Rattus norvegicus: one gene and its partners. The protein of the gene in region 3 interacts with the protein of the main gene of each other region in a pairwise test. Links are inferred from orthologs where the notes say so. Each region holds a gene or a part of one and is shown on either strand. Other genes may lie near its edges. The genes, in order: Cluap1, Atrip and Cinp.

Region 1 (3,652 bases), on a different chromosome or scaffold from region 3:
TCTCATAGCCTATCAGGCTGTTTAACTCTGAATATTCATATTTTATTAGATAGTTATCAGATAGTATAGCTAGCCAAGATATAATATAGATTTTAAGCCTTTCTTAAGCTGGAACGGATAACTAAATGTTCTGTTTAACTGATATAGTGATGGATTGGGTGTTAGATATATTTTATGCTCTTAATTACAAAATGATAATAGTTGTGCTCAGCTTATATTTGAGAGAAAAGTTGTGTTTTTTTTTTTTAATTAGACAAAAGGGGTGAAATGTGAGATGATGTCACAGGTGAGGCAGGCATAAGATAGAAGGAGGCCTGTCATTGGATGAGAAGGAAGGATGGGCGGGAGAAGAGTTTGAAGGAGGAGACTGGAACGAAGAGAGAGGAAGGGAGGAGGAGGGAGGCCGAGAAGCTGTGGCAGGACAATGGAGGCTGATGTAAAGATTCCGCTCTGTGTATTTACAGGTTATCAATGTTCTTAAGGGATGGATGGTACTGGGCTTTGTATGTTTAGATGGGCAATTATATCTTATCAATTGAATCTAAAAAAAAAAAAAATCAAAAGAGTTTGTTTGAGCAACCTATGAGGTCCCTAAACCTGTGCTCTTCCTCTGCTGTCTACCAAGCAGCCTGTGGGAGTGACCCTGACATTTGATGCTCTGGCTCCGTGCCTTCCTCCCATTTCCACCACTCTAAAGGAAATGAGGGACACAAGAGAAGCCACCGTGTGTGCTGCGAGGACAGTGGACACAGGAAATGTGTCTGGTGCAGAAAGCCACAGCTCTCCTGCTCACAACCAAAAAAAGCAAAAGTATGTCCATGTTTCTGCCATATGGCTTCACCACTCATACTGGAGATGCTTACAGAGAAGCCAGGATGGTAAGATAATGAGGAAATCCTGGTCACACTTCCTGGTGTAGGACAGGAGGAGGTAGTATGTCAGGTGTGTTGGCAAACGGAGCCCTGACTAAGCTGGGTATGGCAGTATATATCTTATAGTCCCTGCACGTGGAGGCTGAAGCTAGAGGCTGGTCTGGGTGACACAGACACTGGCCCTCTCATCCCCTAAAATACACAGGAAACAGCCCTGATTACTGCCCAGACCACACTGAGGATCTGGGGAGGTGCCTCAGACATCGAGTGCTTGCTGCTCAAGGTGAGCCCCGCAGCTCAGGTCCCCGCAGCCCATGCACATGCTGAGCACACAGCGGCTCTCCTGTCACCTTGGCACGGGTGAGCAGCCCAAGCACTTACTTCAAACCGTTCCTGCTCCATCCTGTGATGGTCCTCAAGCTGCTGCTCCAGGTAAGCCAGGTTCCGGAACTTCTCCAGGTAGACGTCATACTGCTTTTGCAGCTCTTCCTCAACCTTCTCATACTCATCCATAAAGGCTGGCCTAAGATGAGCAAAGGAAAGAAGAGTGAAAGCAGTCACTCCACAGTAGTTTGAAATTTGTATTTAAGACTCCCAACTTGCATCATGTACCTGAAAACTGCTTAAAAACAATTCATATTTACCCCTCTCTACCCATCAAATGAACAGGTTTTTTTTTTTTTAAATATATAAGTCTTTTATTGTCGCCAAAGAGCCCAGATCCCACTTGTGATCAGGATCTTGTTTCTGGAGCTGGGAAACTGAGGTCTCACTCATCAGCCTGCTGCACAGTTCCCTTCCCAGACACACGGATGCCATCCCAAAACTTCCTGATACTGTTTCTAACTGTTGTGGCTTGCTGAATCAGAGCCAATCCTTTTCTTCAAGGATTAGTTCATCCTTCTGGGCTTGAGAGACAGAACAGGCAATACCTGTCCTCATCTGAATCCTGTGAATGTATTTCTCATCCAAGGAATTTCAGATTTCAACCACAGACCCGCTCTCCTGAATAACGACATTCATGGGAAGGGAGCATCCACAGACCTCATCTTGTAATGGACACCCAGCATTACACCCTTGATCATGTTCTGAACATGACTGCACATGGTTCTGACAGTGGCCAGTTCCTTCCTGTTACCCCACCATTTGTCAACCCAGAGCTTCTTCTTTCCAAGGAGACTCAGCTCTACATTGACGTGATTGAAGTCCCTCCGCAGAGTTCCCCTGGGACCTTTCACAATGGCTGTGCGCCCCTTCAGGGTGACATCAACAGTCTGACTGCTGAGAATGGTCTTCATTCTCGCAGTAGATGGGGCAAAAAGTGAACATAATTATCTTTTTTTAAAAAAAATATCTTTAACCAATATAAAAAGCTAGAAAAAAAACCCCCTGAAAACAGGAGAATAAAGTAAAAAATTATGTATACATTACCAACTACATGCATTGGATGTAACCTGCATCTTCCCAGGTTTTTAGTAGGGTCTAATGTAGCCTAGACTGTCCTTGGTGAATTCCTGATCAGCCTCCTGAGTGCTGGGTTTCATATGTGTGCCATCATGCTAAGTCCCTAGATATAGGTACAGATAGGAATGAGTGTGTATGTGTATTTTTTTGAGACAGAGTTTTACTATGTAGCCCTGACTTAGTCTGGAACTCACTATGTAGGCCAAGCTGGCCTTGAACTCACAAAGATCTGTCTACCTCTGTCTTCCGAGTACTGGTATTAAAAGTGTATATCATTACATCCAACCAGGAATGTATATTTTTAATAAAAATTAAATTGTACTTGGGAGGGTGGGTCCTGCACAGTAGAGCTGGCCCTGGTGACGCCGGTTCAGGTGAGCCGTCCCAAGGGCAGGAGAGCTGGCTCTGCCCCTTGCCAGCTGTGGCACTGGGTGAACCAGGCAAGGCAGTGCTGGAGAACTTGCCCTTATGGTGTGTGTCCAGCCACGTTGAAGACATTAAAAGCAGTATGGAGTGAGAGCGCGCAGCGGTCTGCTTTAGGACAGGCAGCAAAGAAACTGTGGCATGTGGACTCTGCTTTTTGATGTCTTAACTTTCTAGTCACTCTACCTGACACTCTGCAGGGTCTGCAATCGCTTCCGATTTCTTTCCAGCTCCAATTTTCTCTTTTCAATTTTGGCTTCTAAATTGGCTTCGTCAGACGCCACATTGTTGAGCAGGTCTTTAGTCTTCTGAACCTGTGCCTACAGTGAGCAGGGAACAGTGAGCTGAGGTGCCAGGGACGGCTGTCGCCTGCCTCTGAGCACAGAGCTGCTTAACACTTTGTGTAAAGCAGCATCACACAAACCACGCACGAGGGCAACCAACAAACCCTCCCCCACTGTAACTTATTAACCAAGTATTTTCAGTGACAGGAGTGGAAGGAGGGCATGAGGACAGGAACGAGTACCATTCTTGTCATGAAAAGTGCGTGTTTCTGTCCATGGAAGCAGGCAAAAGTGGAGAGAACAATGTCTCGGACAGACAGAGGTCATAGGGTCTGTGTCCAGCCCGCTGGGTTAGGACTGGGCCCTGGTCCATCACTTTGAGCTATTAACCTTCACTTGGGCCATTCCCTGGTTACAAAATACCAACCCAGGGAGTGGGGACACACACACACACACACACACACAGATACGTAGTTACACATAGTCACAGATACAAACATAGACACATATACACACACACATGAATACAGATACACGTACACACATATACACACACACACGAATACAGATACACGTACACACATAAGACAGATACACATACACATGCAC
Region 2 (2,420 bases), on a different chromosome or scaffold from region 3:
GAGGGAGGCTCTTCTCCTAGTGCTGACCACCTTCAGGGTGAGGGAAACCTGTCCTCTTCTGCCTTACCCCATACCCTAGAGGCCCCCCACACTTACCGATAAGCAGGCAACAAGGCACTCCGCTGATTCTGTGGCTGGCAGCACTGGCTCAGGAAGTAAAACTGCCTGGGTCCACCCAGAGGCCTGCCTTCTGAACAGGGCCCGCCCTGCTAGCTAGCCGGCCAGGCCTGGCCCTCGTGCTAAAGCTCCTCCCTCCCTCCCCAAGCACCCCAAAGGCCTTCCTAGATCCATATCTGTGATCCTGCCGGCTAACAAAGTAGACTATCACTGCTGCTCCCACAATGACAACTCCCTAGGTTGTCTCTAGGATTCAAACAAGCCCGTGAGTCTCTGCCTTTCCTTTCCTTTCCTTTCCCCCAGGCCTTGATCCAGGCCTTCCTGTCAGCTACACAAGTTTGTTCTCCCATGGACCTGGCCCAAAGCTATGACTCAGGGTAATTCCGGAAGAGGGGCAGGGTTTTTCCTCAGGGCTGATCAGGACCATCTCAACTCCAGCAGGAGAGTCACCTAATCCAGCAGTTCCTAGTCTGCTCTGTCCCTCCCTCTCAGCCCCACAAATCAAGACTCAGGAAACAAAGCCGGTTCTCAGCAGGAAGTGCAGTTTTAATCAGTGGATGTGGCAAAGACGGTGGGGCTAGTGCCACCTTGTGGCTGGATGCTCAGGCCCTCAGCTACAGTCCATCTCGGCGTCTTCCAAATCTGTCTCTGCAGCACAGAGGTCATCCAGGGCAGCCTCTGAGCCAAAAGGAAGAGGGTTCTGAGATTAACTTGATGGTGCTGGGGCCTGGAGGCCTACCCATCCTCCCTAGAGGCACAGGAACTAACCAGTCCCTTCCATGTGTAGGCTTTGCTCCCTCAGCTACTGTGAGCAAAAGTGATACAAAAGCAATCGGGACAGATCTTTGTGGAAAAACCATGGCTCAGCTAGGCCGATTCAATAGACATAATCAAATGGGAACCTATCATACTCAGACCTAGAGCAGGAAGGCCATGTCTGCAGTGCCAGGAATGGCTCTGGTGGCAAGGGCAGACTCAGGGAAGGAAAGGAGACCAGCAAAGGAGTCTGACTTTTTCATCAGCCTCAGGCAGAGGCATATGAAGGCTGTGACAGTCTCTTGATAGCTTACCTTCACAGTCAGTCACATCAGGAAGGGCTCGAATCAGCATGCTGACCCCTGGCATCACCTGGTCGTACTGATGCAGGACCTCGACACAGTGCACAGTAAAGAGCTTGTCCTTCTGAGATAGGCTGTGCAGCAGCAGCACAGTGTCCCGCAGACAGCGGACCGTCTGCTTCTGCTGGTGGGTCCTTGGACCCCCTGCCCGCCGCACAGTCAGCCATTGCCTGTGCAACATCACAGTGAGTGCTCTGACTGCCTAGGGGAAGAGAGGGCACAGACTGAGGTCTTGCTCACCTCGACACTTCAAGGGAAGCAGGACTGCCCTTCACCAACTGAGCCGCCATGATGTTAGCCTCCGGCCACTCACCTCTACATTGCACTGACAGTCAGAAACAATGCCAGCGGGGGAAGGGCTCTGCACACTCAGCTTGGCCAAGAGCCACACTACCTGGAACAAGAAGACATGGTGTTCACCCTGTGTGGAACCCAGTTATCATAGGCTTCTGCGGGCATTCCTAAGGTGCTCTAGCTACTTCAACAACTGCTTGCCTGCACAGGTGGGGTACAAGTAGTGGTAGCCTCAGGCTCTCAGACCTGAATCTCACCAACAGCTCACTGCTTCCAGGACCAGGATCAGGCCCCAAGCCCCAGGCAGCATGATCAGGCAACTCTGCTGAGCACCACTGCAACCCAGGATGCACTTGTATTGCATCTGTGTGAGGAACCCCTAAATGTTACCCTCTGCTGTTTGACACACTGACCAAAATGAATTGTAGCTCCTATTTTCCCACAAGTGGAGAGGAGGCCCTGGGCTCCTGAAGGGTGAAGGGTGAGCAGAGTCTGAGAGTCTTACCTCTTGTTCCAGCTGAAGCCACTGTGTCTCTGAGGCCGTTTTGTCAGGCCTTGATGTAATGTACATGTACAGCCTCAGGAGAAGGCAGCCTTCTGAAAAGGATTCCAGACCTCACTCAGGGTCCCCCTTTTCATTGTAGCCTGGGGTACAAGTACAGAAGCCCTTGAGGGGCTCTGAACCTGCCCCAGTCCTTCCCTCTCACTGCAGGACAGTTGAGAGCCGCCCTGCCCTGCTTTACCTGAGTGGGAGCACAGCTGCTGTGCTAGGCTGTCCTGGTCCACCAGAACAGAGAGCAGCTCGACAGCCAGCAGCACACACGACAGTGGCAGCTCTGAGCAGAGGCACTGTGGCAACATCGGGAACACGAAGGAGAACCTAGAGAATGG
Region 3 (4,155 bases):
GTGTCTGCTAACACAGTATTCTTTAGGGCTCTTCTGTTTTTTGGTTTGCTTTGATGGTATTGGGGATTGAGCCTAGGTCCCTGTGCATGCTCCACTGGGCTACATCCCCAGCCCATCCATATACTGTGGGACGATCTCATAAAGTTGCTCTGGCGGGTGGGACCTATTTTACAGCCAAGACAGACTGTGAACTTTCTTCCTGCCTCAGCCTCTGAGGTAGCTTGGGTTGCAGGCTGTGCAACCACACCCAGCCAATAGCTCTGCTTGATCTTTTTCATTCATCCTTTACTAAAACAACTAACAGATACCAGTTGGTTACCTTCAACATGTCAGGCATGGGGGATGAAGTGAGTGAATGAGAACCGGCAATTTGACCACGGCACTTACACTCCCAAAAGAGTCAAAAAGTATACAAGTAAATTACTTTAACCAGTCCAGACCCTAAGCACCATGTAAAAAGGGAACAGAAACCCAGGTGTCCGGGAAAGGCTTTAATCCTAGTGTTCAAGAGAGCCAAGAGATCAAGGCCAGCCAACCACTGTGAGTTCTGGGCTTCAGTTAAAACTGTCTTTGACCATGAACTTGGTGAGTACAAGAAACAGGACAAAGCTGAACAGGTAAGTGGCAAACAAGGGCTCACAGAGCTGGAGCCACACAGGCCACTGCAAGCACAGCAGAGAGCAGGCAGTGACCTGGAGTGGCACCGGGATTCGATCTCCTGTCTCATGGTCTACCTCACTACCAAATGAGTGAACGCACTTGGTTCCCTGCAACCTGAGAATGGAAGGGAGTCCTGGGGGAAGACATCTAAGTGGAGCTAGGGTGGAGATGGGGGGGGAAGGGTCAAAGAGGGACACCCGAAGTGCCATAAAGAAACCTACCTTGTAAGCTAATTAAAATAAATAAATGGTGTAAATATTTTGTGTTCTACCCTCCTATAGGAAGGCCGAGACAGTGACTTGGACAGAGGGAATTGTTAAAAACTTCGGACGCTAGAGAGTAATAACAGAATTCTGGTCATTTTCATTTCAATCTTGAATGTTAAAATCGCCTCACTCGAAAGAAAGAAAACCTCTAAGGAAAAAAAAAATTCTCTGGGTTTTTAGTGGAATATTCCATATGGGGCAGAGTTTATTTTTAAAGGGTTGTTTGTGTGTGTGTGTGTGAATGTGTGGGAGTGATGCCAAGGCCAGAAGGGTGACTGACGTCCTGGAGCTAGAGTTGTAGGTGTTTGTGAGCCGCTCAGTGTGGGTGTGGGGACCAAACTCCACTGCGCTAGAAGAGCAGCAAGTGCTCGGGACTGCTGCCACATCTCCAGCTCTGGATTTCATTTTCTGTATTTTAACGTCACCTTCATTAGGAGACTAGAATATTTCGAGACTTGTTTCTTCTGACCCCAAAATTTCAATGCAACCAGAGAATTTATAGATAAAATTCTGTTTGTATATAACTGTTAACGTATCTGTAGTTTGCAATAGATATATTTGTAATAGTTAAATGCAAAAAAAAGAAACAAAGAAAGAAAGTCTCTGTCCTGGTTACTTTTGCTGTCAGCTTGGTATACCAGGGAAGAGAGCCACCATTTAACAATTGTCTGTGGGGATGTCTGTGTGTTAAATGACGTTCAAGAGCCTGACTCACGGTGGTGGTGCCACCCTTGGGGAAGTGGTCCTGGGCTGTCTAAGAAACTATCTGAGGGGCTGGAGCTGGCTCAGAAGACCCAGCACCCACAAAGAAGCTCACAACCAGCCGTGATCCTTACTCCAGCGGATACCATGTCCACTTGTGGCCTCTGTGGACACTGAACACACATGATACGTTTACATAAATGCTGGCATTAACACTCATACACATAAAAGAAAATCGTAGGAGAAAGCAAACTCGGGAGGTAGTGGAAGGGAAGGAGCCTCCTTCATGGTTCCTGCCGATTTCCCACACTGATGGATTATGACCTGGAAGGGTAAGACAGATAAAATCTTTCCCTCCCAAGATGCTTTTTGGGGACAGTATTTTGACCATAGTAACAGGAAGCAACTTGAACAGTTATTTACTTCAAGAAGTCTTCCTGGATCCCCCAGTTGCATTACGTGTCACTGCAGTAGACATGTTACCTCCTATTGGTCAGCTGTCATCACATTCACTAGTGAGTCTATATTCCCCGCAGGGCTGAGCTCACCCAGAGTAGGGGTTATGTCTCATCCCCTCCCATATCTTGCATACATAGTAGATTTTGAATCTAACGCGTTACATGGAGGAACTGCTCTTACTTCCTGTATTACATTCGTCCTTCGGGGGGGATTCTTAAGGGTGAGGAGCACATCTGACTTAGTTTGCTGGACCCACTTAGGAATCAAAAGCACAGTTCTGACTTCTAGACACTCAGAGGCAAATAGGGAAATATCAGTGAGTCCCAGACCAGCTCTGAGAGAGGCACAGCAGAGGTTTTTAAGCTTGTAAACTAAATGGGACTCAACGAGACCACAGCCATAGGCTAACGTACTGACCCATGCGACACTAATCGACACAGAGACAGCCTTTATCACAAAGTGCAAGCTCCACGGCCGGTCTCACTGACTGCGGGAGTTCGGGGAAGGGTTTCCAGAGGGGTTGGCAGGTCAGGCTTGGCTCCAATGTGCTCCGGGATGCTCTGAGCCTCACACCGCTGACACTTCACCACATTCAGATGACTGACACACCGGAAGGAACAAGGCTCCCGGCAGCCCGCGAGATCCAGGCGCACCCCACACGACACGACACGGGCTCGTTACCTTTCCCCACAAGACCTGTAGCCTCCCCAGCCAGGGAAGCATAGCCCTCTCACGCACCTTCCATGCGGTCCACAGGTAGATACCGAGATGACCAGAAGCCCCGCCCACGGACTAAGGAAGTGATGTCACTTCCGCGGGCCCGCCGACACTTGTAGCTCTGCCGCTCTAGCTCTCCGGCGGAGTCACGGCTCGTCTCTGAGGCCTAACCCGTTGCCTAGGCAACAGGCTCCCGGCAGCCCCTGCGGCCGGGAGTCCATCCCGCCTCCTCCGGGTTGGCGGGGCTGAGGAGTCCTGAGGGGCTGCCGCGGGAGGTGAGTTCGGGAGCGTGCTGGTGGGTGCTGGACGCCTCCGACGTCCCGACGCCGCCCCTCGCCTTTCCGCCCCCTGGCAGGGCCGCCTTTCCTTGTCTCAGCCCCTCAGAGTCTCCACAGCCGTGTTGCCGTCCCCCTGGCAGCCACCGCACGCGGCGCGTCTGTCAGCCCGCGTCTGTGCAGAGCACCGGGCGCCGCAGCGTTCGCACACCGCCCGGGGCCGCCACGGCGCCCCAGCTCCCCTCGCTCCTCCCCTCCTGCCCCACCCTGCATCCCTCTCGCGGCGGGCTCCAGGCTCCTCAGCCTTAAGATTGACATTGCGTTCTGTTCTGTTCCCGGATCCTCAGCTGTATCCCTTACATTCGCCCACCAACGCCAAGCAGCTGGCTTGGGCACCCAGTAGGAGTTGAGTAAGTGTTGGTTAAATGGATACCGAATGCCTCCCTGTGTGGTCTCCGAGGCCGAGTGGACAGTGAGGGTTAAAGAATGGGGTGACCCTGGGGTCAGACTCGGGGTCAGGTCACTGTGCTTCCCCTTCCTACTCGTCTACTGGAGCAAGTGTCAACTTCTAGCTTCAGCTTCGTCATCCGTAAAATGATAAGTTTTTATCTTGGGATAGTGGAGGATTAAATGGGTCAGTGCACGCACAGCCAGGGTCAATAAGGGTTAGTCCTTGCTGTCACCCACCCGGCTCTGTGGGCTTTGCTGGTTTTTCGTTTAGTCCCTTAAGTCTCTGGCTTCCCATTACTTTTGTTTTCCTTCTCAACTTTACTTCTCTTTCCTGCCCCTTGTGCTTCCTTTCTTTCTCACCGATATTCAGTAATTTTCTGTTCCATTTGTTGGCAGCATGGAAGGTGTATTGATTTGTCATTGACTGGAATGATCATTTGCAGCCAAGGTTTTAAAAACTTTCTGGAGCAGGGAGTTGTGGGAAACTCAGGTCCTAGGTGTGAACTCAGGAATTCAAATTTGCTCTAGTTCCTTATCACCGGGAGCGTCCTTGTCTTCGAAGCTGCAACACTTTTTGTACCTACTCCCACCCAGCTGTAATGCTTCTATACCTGTGGCCCTTTTGT

What was found.
Region 1: the proteins of Cinp (region 3) and Cluap1 interact in binary tests that used the Homo sapiens proteins (3 or more experiments, as listed by UniProt). The two-hybrid records come from large-scale screens. The link is inferred for Rattus norvegicus from reciprocal best matches to the Homo sapiens genes CINP and CLUAP1.
Region 2: the proteins of Cinp (region 3) and Atrip interact in binary tests that used the Homo sapiens proteins (3 or more experiments, as listed by UniProt). The link is inferred for Rattus norvegicus from reciprocal best matches to the Homo sapiens genes CINP and ATRIP.

The regions. Positions count from the first base shown.
Region 1 is NC_086028.1:12,107,874-12,111,525, forward strand, and holds part of Cluap1 (clusterin-associated protein 1), read right to left. Parts: intron 3,080-3,652; coding exon 2,946-3,079; intron 1,396-2,945; coding exon 1,254-1,395; intron 1-1,253. UniProt on the Homo sapiens protein: Required for cilia biogenesis. Appears to function within the multiple intraflagellar transport complex B (IFT-B). Key regulator of hedgehog signaling.
Region 2 is NC_086026.1:118,586,269-118,588,688, forward strand, and holds the end of Atrip (ATR-interacting protein), read right to left. Parts: intron 2,410-2,420; coding exon 2,273-2,409; intron 2,175-2,272; coding exon of another isoform or gene 2,146-2,174; exon of another isoform or gene 2,127-2,145; coding exon 2,035-2,126; coding exon of another isoform or gene 1,909-2,034; exon of another isoform or gene 1,894-1,908; coding exon of another isoform or gene 1,783-1,893; exon of another isoform or gene 1,630-1,782; coding exon 1,549-1,629; intron 1,438-1,548; coding exon 1,188-1,437; intron 796-1,187; coding exon 728-795; 3' UTR 641-727; downstream 1-640. UniProt on the Homo sapiens protein: Required for checkpoint signaling after DNA damage. Required for ATR expression, possibly by stabilizing the protein.
Region 3 is NC_086024.1:135,717,824-135,721,978, forward strand, and holds the start of Cinp (cyclin-dependent kinase 2-interacting protein), read right to left. Parts: upstream 2,867-4,155; 5' UTR 2,833-2,866; coding exon 2,826-2,832; intron 1-2,825. UniProt on the Homo sapiens protein: Component of the DNA replication complex, which interacts with two kinases, CDK2 and CDC7, thereby providing a functional and physical link between CDK2 and CDC7 during firing of the origins of replication.